Saccharomyces cerevisiae S288C: one gene and its partner. Changing the gene in region 1 together with any one later gene gives a genetic interaction. Each region holds a gene or a part of one and is shown on either strand. Other genes may lie near its edges.

What was found.
Region 2: mutations in RDR1 (region 1) and AIF1 together harm fitness less than expected from each alone (positive genetic interaction), as found in Saccharomyces cerevisiae (one large-scale study listed by BioGRID).

Annotation. Positions count from the first base shown.
Region 1 is NC_001147.6:1,048,425-1,054,439, reverse strand, and holds RDR1 (Rdr1p), read right to left. Parts: upstream 3,151-6,015; coding exon 1,510-3,150; downstream 1-1,509. Other genes in the region: AMF1 (Amf1p), read right to left, coding at 3,382-4,929. UniProt on the Saccharomyces cerevisiae protein: Transcriptional repressor of multidrug resistance genes, such as PDR5. Required for growth on non-fermentable carbon sources like lactate or glycerol.
Region 2 is NC_001146.8:776,713-781,891, reverse strand, and holds AIF1 (Aif1p), read left to right. Parts: upstream 1-3,153; coding exon 3,154-4,290; downstream 4,291-5,179. Other genes in the region: YNR075C-A (uncharacterized protein), read left to right, coding at 289-381; COS10 (Cos10p), read right to left, coding at 852-1,976. UniProt on the Saccharomyces cerevisiae protein: Putative FAD-dependent oxidoreductase involved in the resistance to cercosporin and other singlet oxygen-generating photosensitizers. Translocates from mitochondria to the nucleus under apoptotic conditions, where it degrades DNA and induces apoptosis.

The DNA of each region.
Region 1 (6,015 bases):
ATTTTGGGTGATCGAGGGTTTTATCTTTTTATGCACATGTAATTCTTCCCAAGAAATAGGAATTTCTTCCCAGATGATATTTTCCAACACTGCTTCGTAGTTATAATAATCTTGCAATGCCAACCGTAAAATAGTAACGCATTTCTAGAAGAATTTCGCAATTCATTTTATATTTTTTAATCAAATGAGAAAAAAGTATAACGATTAAAAACTCTCTAACCATGTATTGGAAAAAGATGTTGCAACTTATGTAATATTCCTTGGCAGGGTTTCCGGGGCCTGTGCGCAACTTTAACGCCATTTTATGCAGGCCGAGCATTCTAAGCCTCAAAAAAAGTTGTATCTCCGAACCTGCCAATCTTTACTGTCGTACCAACCAAGGGTATGAAAAAAGCAAATAAGGCCTACAGCTTATTCAGCTTAGTATACTTCATCAGATTTATGATAAAATTTTTTTGCACTGATCCATCATTTTTTTATGGAACTGGTGGAGGAAGCTAGTTAAACCGCGAATTAAGTTAGGCGATGCGATGCGCCTACGTATTTTCAAAGTTTTACTGAAATTGGCTCAAAGCATAATTGTGATTGGAATGGGAAGCAATAAAAAAATGACTTTTGAAGTTTTCAGTTTGAATGACTTTCGATTAAATGTTTTTATTGATAATTGAGCGAAAGTGGTAGAAAGTATGTACTGGCTATTTTTCTTCCAAATATAGCCGAGACCGAACAAAATTTAAACAAAACAATTAATTAAATTATTCATTATTCATTATTCATATTAGAATATCAAGTTGTAAAAAGCTTGAAAGTCTTTTTTTTTAAAAAAAAAATAGACTGGACATGAGTCTTATAAATAAAGGGCAGTGAAAGAAGACTAGTGTATTAGAAGTGTATCCGCATGTGATATGACTATTTAAGTGTCACAACGGCATTCTTTTATTGCTGATGATAAGATCTAGAGAACTCTTCAGGGATGTTTTTCTACATACGTTCTAAGCTTTCCCACCTACACTAAACCAAATACTAATAAAGTGTATAAAAATTTCCGGACCACTCAAACAAAATTTCGCTCAGCAATACTTCAAATCTTGACTTGCTTTTATTTTTATCTTTCGGTTTTCCACCTGACGTTATCAACTTTTCTTTAATGAATTGAACTTCCAAGCTTTAACACTGTTCCTGAGCCTCTTGAGTATTGACATAAACAGTCAGACCTTCTCTCGTATTTTTATAGATCGAACTTGAACCATCAATTTGGTGCAATGCAGTGCAATTTGCATTTGGTTCAGACACTATGTCCAAGAAAAGAATATAATATCAGTCAAGGTTTCACCCCTCATTCCAGGCGTGACGGGATTTCTTTAAATTTCCTATTTTCAAATACCGGATATATTACTTTCTGCGCAATTATCAAAGATAAAATATAGTAAGCAGGTATTAAACATCAATTCCATTCCCTCTAATTATAAATCAATTTGCTTCTCGATACACATAATCTATAATACTCTTTTACATAAAGTTTAACGTGTCTGATGGATCTAGCAAAGCATCCCAGTCAATATCGAGTAGGTGAGTAGTTTCAAGATTAGATCTCTGGTGAGTTGCCTGCTCAAGCTGCTGAATTTCTTGTCTTTTTTTTTTCATGGAATCCTCAAGAAGCAGTTTTGCGGTCTTTTGTGCTTCAAAAGCAATACGTGTACCGAGAATTTGAGTAATATTATCTAACGTTTTCATGGCAGTAGCAACATGTGAAAGACTTTCCGGTGTGTCGATGGCAAGAAGGACACAGACGTACTGGAATGAGGTGCTCAACACATTCCACCATGCTTGATCCAGTTTTACAAGAGCGTATGCTGCTGATAGCGCAGTGTTGCCGATATCAATTATTTGTAAAACAACATTTTTATCAAGAATATGATTCAGCAAACGAAGTCTTCTATACAAAGAGAGGCATATATCACCCTTGGTCAACGACAAAAACGGATGTGCGTTTGGTGATTCATGAACGGCCGCCAGGGCCTGCAACAATTGCGCTGCGTTTGCGTTCACGCTGTCTTGGGGAATCAGGTGTGCTAACGCGACTAAATGAGCTGTAAAATTACCGTCCGTCTCCTTAACTGGCTTGCAAGTAATTCTATTCAGCGTAACACTTGAGCGCCCATAGTCATATGAAAGAATGGTATTGATTGACCATGCACACCAAAATAATCTTCTAGTGTGTTCGCTCACTACAGTAGTTCTTTTTGGTGGAACGTTGTTCGATATCGCTATATCCTCTCTGTCAATCTCATGATGCAGGCCAATTGCCTCAGAAAGATGGATGGTTACGCAGCTAGCTAACCATGCTACATGGGGCCTCGAAGTGGCTCGCAGGTAAATGGTGCGCAAAACCCATGCGGAGACTTGCTCCACCGTGGGAATGCGACTGAAAGTCGGGTCATCAAGGATCCCTTTGGCATATTGTACTATATCCATCTCTCGGGGATGGCCAAGACTTCCCATAAAAAATGATCCTAAAGCTATCACCCCTGCAATAACAGCCCCATACTCTAAGGTTTTTACGTCGCCATCCCAGTATTTTTCAACATTCTTTGCCAGTTGCTCTGGATTAACAACATCAAATATCGGGTGAACAACTGAAAAATAAACTTTTGAGATACGGTAATACTCTTCCTTTGTAACTAAATCAGAAAGAAGGACATGTGAGTTTGGATTTTCTTCCGGTCTGATTCCGCAATGCCAAGCGAAGGAATGTAGGCGTGGAGGATTAGTTGATCGGAGTTCGAGACCAAGACAGCGGGGGAAAGCAACTGCAGAGTGCTGGATCGTGTACCTAGACTTAGTTGGATCTACAATGTTTTGACTTGTAACGTTCTGTGTATTTATAGGCTGCGGTTGTTCGTTTCTATGTATACCCGGAAGAACAAAAGGTCTGCTCTCCGTATCAGGAGATGTTTCACCTACTTGTTGCACTTGAGGTGATGCCGAAGGGACACGACCGTCAATATAATGACATACATATCCATAGGCAACGCACATTTCACATGGAGATTTGCCATTACATTTCCTTTTACGTTCCCTACAGGGCACGCAAGCCTTTCGGACTCTTTGTCGCTTGTGTGGTAATGCTGTCGATCCTGGGGATGCCATTTGGTGAGCTTAAAGTAGGAAAGTGTGCGCTAAGTTATCTTACTGAAGTTCTTTCAGGTTTCTACTTGAAAAAATAATGTATCTTTTCACTCGAGAATGGCCTCTTGTAATTTTCATATTTATCGCACGATACGGGATATACTGGCTCCTCTCTATCACTTTGATCGTACTATATTTATTTCTATTAGTTTGGGTTATATACCACGATGAAGTATTTCTCTATATATGAACTTATTCTATAAAATGCTGCTTTTCGGAGATCCTTTTTTTAGACTTCATAAAAGTGCTCCATGCATACGTTGCTGCGACAAAAATGCCAAGTCCGCTCAACCCGATGCCCATGTACCACGAACAACGATATCCTTTCAAAGGCTTGGCACCTCCGTCATTTACTCTAGATTCAATTGTACCTGCAATACCCAAACCTATCGATATCGAATAGTTTACCACCGTATTAACCAAAGAGGCTGCAAGACCTTGATGTTCGTGTGGCATCGAGTCACTAAGCATTATTGTAGCGGCCGGAAAGGACATGTCCATTCCCCAAGGCATAACAATGATTGACACAAACGTTTGAGCCCAATACGTTTGGTGAACGGGGGCCGTAGCAATCAATATAGTTCCGACTGTGAAAGCTGTCATCGCAAAAAGCATAACTGTGCTTGGGGGTGTATGGCTTAGAAGGAAACCTGTCGTCACGGCTGCACAAAATCCACTGATTGCTACAGGTGAAAACTGTGCACTAGAAAGAAGGGGGGTTTGGCCCCTTGAGTCTTCCATGAACTGCCATGTATAGAATATCCAAATACCAAAGCTGGCCCATCCCGCAGCTATGCAGCTAAGTACAAAAGCAGTATCACTAGAAAGAGCAGCAAATGGTAGCAGAGGGAAAGCTGCTCGGGACTCGATATATGCAAAAATAACCAAGAAAAAGGTACCAACTATCAAAAGAGCGTATGTGTATGGAGTTTGCCAACCCACAACGGGGCCTTGGTTCCAAGCGAAATTAAAGAGAATTAATCCAACAACGCCGGTAACTGACCCTGCAAAATCGATTCGTTCCAACAACTTGAAAGATGAGGCATCGCGGCTTGGCATGGGGGTGTGAGGGATTACAAAGTAACCTGCTACAGCTAAAACAAAGCATGCAATACCCATTATCCAGTAAGCCCATGGCCACCACGCCAGTTGACCCAACATGGATGAGAAAACAGCCCCAAGGAAGAAGCCACCAGGTGCTGAAGCACCAAACAGACTAAAGACCATGTTTTTTCTTCTTCCTGGCTTATATGTGCGTCCGAGAATCGCAATGGCATTTGGCAACAAAAAGGCCGGACCCATGCCTTGAAATGCACGACAGCAGTCAAAAAAAATCTGATTAGAGTAGACGCTAAACCCAGCAAGTAAGGACCAAAGTGCGTACCAAAAGAAGCCAAGGACAAAGAATTTCTTGTGTCCGAAGATATCTCCGAGTCTTCCAGCAATTAAAATGAATGTACCAACAGTTAGCGAATATGCGGAAGCAAACCAACTAAGTTGTCCAGCATTCGTTGTTCCAAAACTGTTACCGATGATGTGAAGCGGCGCTAATGATTGTCCAAGTCCTGCCTGAGTCATTAGTTGGGCAGAGCACAGCACTCCGACAAAGGCACTCTCCCATAAAAGGGATTTAGGCCTCTCATCCTGAATATCAAACTCTGATAATACTTTATCCTCCTTTTTCAAGGCTTCCGCGTTTGTATCCAAGTTTTTCTGCGTTACGGAGGAGCTAGTTGACATATTGATTTTATGTTCTTTATGTTCCAGCAATTGATGAATGTACAATATTTGTTTTCTTTTCAGGTAGAGAGTGAGATAGAAGTAAGTTTCCACAAATGAAGTTATTGGAGGCTAGATATACTACTCCCTTGGTATTTAAAACTGCTGCCAAATCTCGTTTATTTTAATCCCTACCGATAGCTCATCATTGAGAGCTTCCGCAATATCCGCACATTTCGTGGAGCGCTTCACGTGAAAAGAGTGGCCCATTGAAAAAAAAGCTGAAACATTCGTAGCGACAACCCTGGCGACAAGCGTGGCGACAACCGCAATAGCCGCCACAGCCGCAATAGCTACACATCACCTTTTTGGGCTTAAAGTGGTAGGTAATTTTGCTTGGCGCGGTTACCTACCACTCTAAGCCGCAACAACAGAACACGTATGGAAAGCTTGCCGCAATTGTCATCGTTCTGGCTAGTTCATTCAACGTTTTAGGTTTCCACCCCGTTACATTTGCACGTTCAGCGTAATGAGCGTGGGTACTCGATGATTGTCGTTTGTTAAGGCTAATCTAGTTGAAAAAGAAACGCGTGAAAAATGTTATTGAAGTTTCTTATCCAATTAAGATTTCAGCTTTTCAGCTTTTTTTCTAGGCGCTCACTTGGTTCCATACCATTCTTTTCAAAAAGTCTGCCATGTAATTATACGAATACTGTGAATCTTTTATGATAGCATGCTCCTATTATAGATGTGATCGATGTCTGTGTGCTTCTGGGCTTACAAACGAGGATATGCACACAAGGTTCCAAATTGCCGAAGCTGCAAAGAAGCAAGCAGGCTCCTGAAGCACCGAATCAAGATCAAATCATTGTAGCGACTTATTTTAGATGAACTTTGGAAAGCGGCGTCTATAAAAGTATAAAAAAATACAGCAAGAAACCTTTTTAAAATCTACTAGCAAAGAGAGAAAGGAAATGACTACATTAGGTGCGATATCAATAATATCGAATTGATGAAATATGAAAATAAAATTTTATGCCTGGGGAAAAGTTCGGTAACATCAAATCAGTGCTTTATTTGAGTATCTTCCGCCTGTAATTCCTCACA
Region 2 (5,179 bases), on another chromosome or scaffold:
ATGTAATCTTAACAAGAAATAGTGAAATGAAAGCGCATACCTCAAAGGCATATAGTTGAAGCAGCTCTATTTATACCCGTTCCTCCATCTGTTATCACTACTTAAACGATTCGTTAACAGATGCTCATTTAGCACCTCACATATTCTCCATATCTCATCTTTCACACAATCTCATTATCACTATGAAGATGTTCTTGTTTTTGAACGAATCATACATCTTTGATAGACTTCGTATGTGGAGTACTGTTTTATGGCACTCATGTGTATTCGTATGCGCAGAATGTGAGAATGCCAATTATAGGGGTGCCGAGGTGCCTTGAAAACCCCTTTTGCGCGCCTGCGAAGTTTCCGCTTTCGGTCAAAAAGAAAATCCGAATTTAGATTTAAGACCCTCGTTCAGAAGCTTATTGTCTAAGCCCATATTCAGTCTGCTCTAAACGGCTTCCATGGAAGTAATATTTCTATCTCTTGAAATCCGTACAAGATATTAGACGTGTGTTGGGAGTCGTATACTGTTGGCGTCTGCAAATTCGTGAATTCTCCGCGAATGCCTTGGTGCAATTACGTAATTGTAGCCGCTGAAGGCGGATGGTTTTGAGAGAAGTTGATGTTCAAAGAATCGTGTATGATAAAAAAGAATGTAACCAGAAGCAGGATTAAAACTCGACGCAGAGGAAAATATTTGATTCCGAGATGTAACCCCCCCTTTTCTAGCCAGATATGAAGGAGAAAAGTGTAAGGGCAATAGATGGCGCTAATTTATTGAATCCAATTTTAAAAATGTTCTCTAGGAAAAATATTAATAGTTGATCCTCCTTGTAGCTTCTAAGTCAAAATAAATGTTTCTATCTTTATGGTAACGGCTCATAGTTACAGCTCAATTGCGCTTCTTGAATGTATTTCCAAAGTTCAACGTTTAATGATCTAGGCGACGCAGATTTTTTTGAGAACAAAAGGCTACTAAAGTTCCGTTCAAAGAATGCCTGACAATCAGTCCCATCAAAGAAAAACTCTTCGTTTTTCCAGACCCTCTTTTCAAATAATCGTGTATTCGTTTTCCTTGCAATTGTATCCCATTTTTCAGGGCTAGCACCCTGCTCGTTTATAATATCTGATAGGTACTGCATTTTATCATCAACTTTCATCGATTTAGGCCTTATGTTTTGAAAATCATCTATCATTCTAAAGAAAATGTCTATTAGCCAATAAGATACCAAGCATGCTGGTGATAAATTTGCACAAATAAAGAAGTCAGACATATCAGGAAGGAAGTCTAGTGGAGAGAAAGAAATCCTGATTCTCTGGCAACTCCATGCTAGCTTGCAGCGATAGGTTTCCTTAGGAAGCTTGACATTTTCCAACATAGTAAGTTTGCATTCCTTCTTACCATGGATCAACCTCCACTGTGCGTTTACTTTTGTAAAATAAACCTGCACCGCGTCTTCGGTGTAAGGGACCAAAATCTCAATTGAACTGAACCTAGGATCTTCGTTTTGTCTCCTCAAAACAGCTGGCTCTAGAATGGTTTTCCTGAATGCTTCTTGGCAGTCAGTACCATTAAAAAAAAAATGTGCAGTTTTCCATGCTTTGTTTTCATACAAGTAGGAATTGAAATGTATTGCAACAGCGTCCCAATCAGCAGAGTATGCACCTGGTGCACTTTTGATGATTTCTTTAGAAAGCTGGGTGAGTTGATTTGATAAAGTATATTTACTGTACTGTATTTGAACTACTGGCAAAATAGCAATTAGCGCCAGGATTAGAACTACTGAAGTCAGAAGGGGATAAAACCAAGTACTGGCCATCCCCCACCAAACGGCAAGCGGTAACCATGATAGCGACCAGATCCAAAATCCTGAGTTGCGAATCTCACTGCACAACCATGTTAAACGGTTTCTGAAAATATCCTCGGGCAAACAAAAGCTACTATGGGTCTCAAGACCTTTAGAGGACAAAAGTCTAATCTCTTCCCCCATATTCAATATAGTGTATTTCACATTAATGTTATGAGGTACGTAACAAGTTTACTGAGGTTTAATCACTCGCAGTGTTTTTTATATAATTCGCAAGATGAAATTTGTTGACAGCGCGTTCATCACGCAGCTGTTGAGTTTTATAGTTAAAGCCACGATCAAAAAAAGAGCAACAGCTTCGAGCAGTTTCGAGTGAAAGAGAATCTATGTTGGTTTATGTTCCGGAAGCACGGGAGAAATGGACTTCACTCAAGTACCCAAGTTATCACTAAAATGTAAGTCAATGTATGTTTACAGATACGAGCTGCGATGTTTTATAATACATGGTACACAATAGGTGAAGTATTGTGGCTTATTTTTGAATTATCAAACAATGTAATAGCTTTCCAAAGCATACCATATAACTCCTATGAATTAAGCGGCGGTCTCATTATAAAGTCGGGACACTTTTTGGTCAAAGCTCTCGATTAGTTTTTGAATACTGTGCAAAGTCTTTAATGATATTGTCATCAGTTCATAATCGAATTCTCTGGTACATTTTTTCTTATTTTATTGATCAATGTTAATGTCAGTTTGCTGGCTCTTGTTTTTTTTTTTTTTTTTTTTTTTTGACTGTTAGTTAAGTTGCCCAGCTAAGCTTACTCAATGAGTTAAGTATTTATTTTCATATTTTCATCATAAAATACTGCGCTATCTCGTGCCCTCGTCTCTTATACAATAGGCAGTACTTGACTAGAATCTAGGAGTGCTTTTCCTGAAACTCTCTATAATAACAACCCATCTCCCGCCGATTGTATAGTGAGCCAAGTGTTCTCATAATGGGGGTCTTGAAGAAGACTTCAATGGTGTCTCATAGTAGCAGTACTAGTAGTGCTAGGAAGATGAGCATTGTACAGCTTACTTTTCGTTATTAGTGATACATGACTGAGTGATTGTAGTTGGTAATACTGGATTAGTAATCGTTAAAAAGCGATAAAAATTAATTGAATGTCCACCCTGCATGATTAGTCCTTTTTATCTGGCTGGACAAATGAAGCCTATTATAAGTATTAATATATTAGCTGCTGCAGACTAGAAACGAAAGCAGTGATAAATCATTGATAGACACACATTTCCTCATCGTTGTTCTTCATTATTTACAGGAAAGAGCAGAGAAAGGAAGAAAGAAATTGCAAAATATATGACAATTAACACAAAGAACATAGTTGTTGTTGGTGCTGGTGTGTTTGGTGTGTCTGTGGCAAATCACTTGTACAGGGAACTGGGTGGGACATACGCAATAAAGCTCGTCACAGCATCTAATTATGTGTATTTTCTACCCTCAGCTGTCCGTTTGACGGTTTCAAAGGATTATACCAAGTCGATCCTGCCGTTAAAAAATGTTCTTGATAGTGGTATTGAAGTTATCAAAGATACGGCTGCCAGCTTTGATGATAAGGAGGTAGTTTTGGGGTCAGACAGGGCCATAAAGTTTGATATCTTGGTTCTTGCAACTGGCTCAAAGTGGGCTGATCCAATTGGTTCAACTTATACCTTCGGGGATAACTATAAAGAGTATTTTGAAAGAGAGGCTTCTCGAATCTCAGATGCAGATCACATACTTTTTCTTGGCGGTGGCTTTGTTAATTGTGAACTAGCTGGTGAATTGTTATTCAAGTATTTGGAGGAGATCAGGTCTGGCAAAAAGCGTATTTCCATTATTCATAATTCCGATAAGCTACTGCCGGACTCTGGGTTATACAACGATACCCTAAGAAAAAATGTGACAGACTATCTCTCAAAAAATGGTATTACGTTGTACTTGAACACAGTAGGGGCTTCTTTAGACACCTCGCCGAAACGTATTTTTCTAGGTGAGGGCTCATCTAAATATATAGATGCTGATTTGATTTACAGAGGCGTTGGTATTTCTCCAAATGTGCCGGTCAACAGTATTTCAGACCTTTGTGACAAGAAAGGGTTCATTCAAGTTGAAAAAAACTTCAGGGTAAAAGCTGTTGAGGCAGGAAACGTTTTTGCCATTGGTGATGTAACGAATTTTAGATATCACGGATTGGTTAAAAGAGATAATTGGGTTGATGTTTTGACCCGAAATGTTATAAGTTCTTTACAAGAAGGAACAGAGGCTAGTCTCGTTGATGCAGATTGTCTTGAGACAGGACATGCCCCAAGTGGTGTCTCCCTTGGGCCAAATGCAGGGTTTGGCCAATTTCCACTACCGTTACTTGGGACGATTAATATTCCATCGTTTTTAATTTCTAGAGCAAAGTCGAAGAATCTTTTCTCCGACAAAATGGAACCTTTATTCAAAAAATAGACTAAAATATGAACTGCAGCGTATATATATATATATATATATATATATTAGTTTCTGTATTGTGAAACAAAGAAGGCCGCTGGAAACAACAAATGTTGAACTTCGCATTCAGATAATAATCTATTAAAACCCGAAGTTACTCGAAAATGTTAGCTTTGGATTCTCACACTATATGTAGTTTCTTTGACAGTAGTAAAACGGTATTACACCTGTGCATTAGAGTTATCAATCGCTTGATAACAATTTGACATTTTGGAGGGTCCATGAAGATAGGTACTGATTTTACTCGAAGTGTGAATGTTTTATACCGAAGTTTTGTTATATAGAGATACAGATATCAACAGGATTGACCACCTTCTTTTTTAAACCTAGTATAATGGGGACGGTGAGAATTAACAGTTAAGGTATAGGCGTGATGCCATGGGAGGGGCAAATACGGAACTGGAGTAAAGTATTGTGTGGTTTAGGTGCTGGGAAAAAGAAAGCATTAGAATGCTCAATAAAACAGCGGCTTCCCGCATAATATTTTTTTGATTATTTCATTCCGAGAAAGGCCGATATATGCAGAGGCTACGTGTTGCTTGCCAACTTCAGTATACTTTGCTTGCCACTACCAGAAATTGACCCCGGGAACTTTATTTTTTAAGTGCCTAAAACTTATTTTCCTGCAGGGCGCGCAATAAATAAGGGATATAGCAAAACTTGAAACGTGGGGTAGTTTCGTGCCTTCTTATGTGCCTATCTTGATTTTTGCCTTTGTACCTGAGTCTCCTTACCCCGCGATACCCCACCGTATAGTCACTTTCCCTTGGCACGGGCTAAAATGACCGTAGGATGAGCTCAGCAAACAGTTCATTCCACGTACACTTTTCTTTTATTTTTAGCTCGC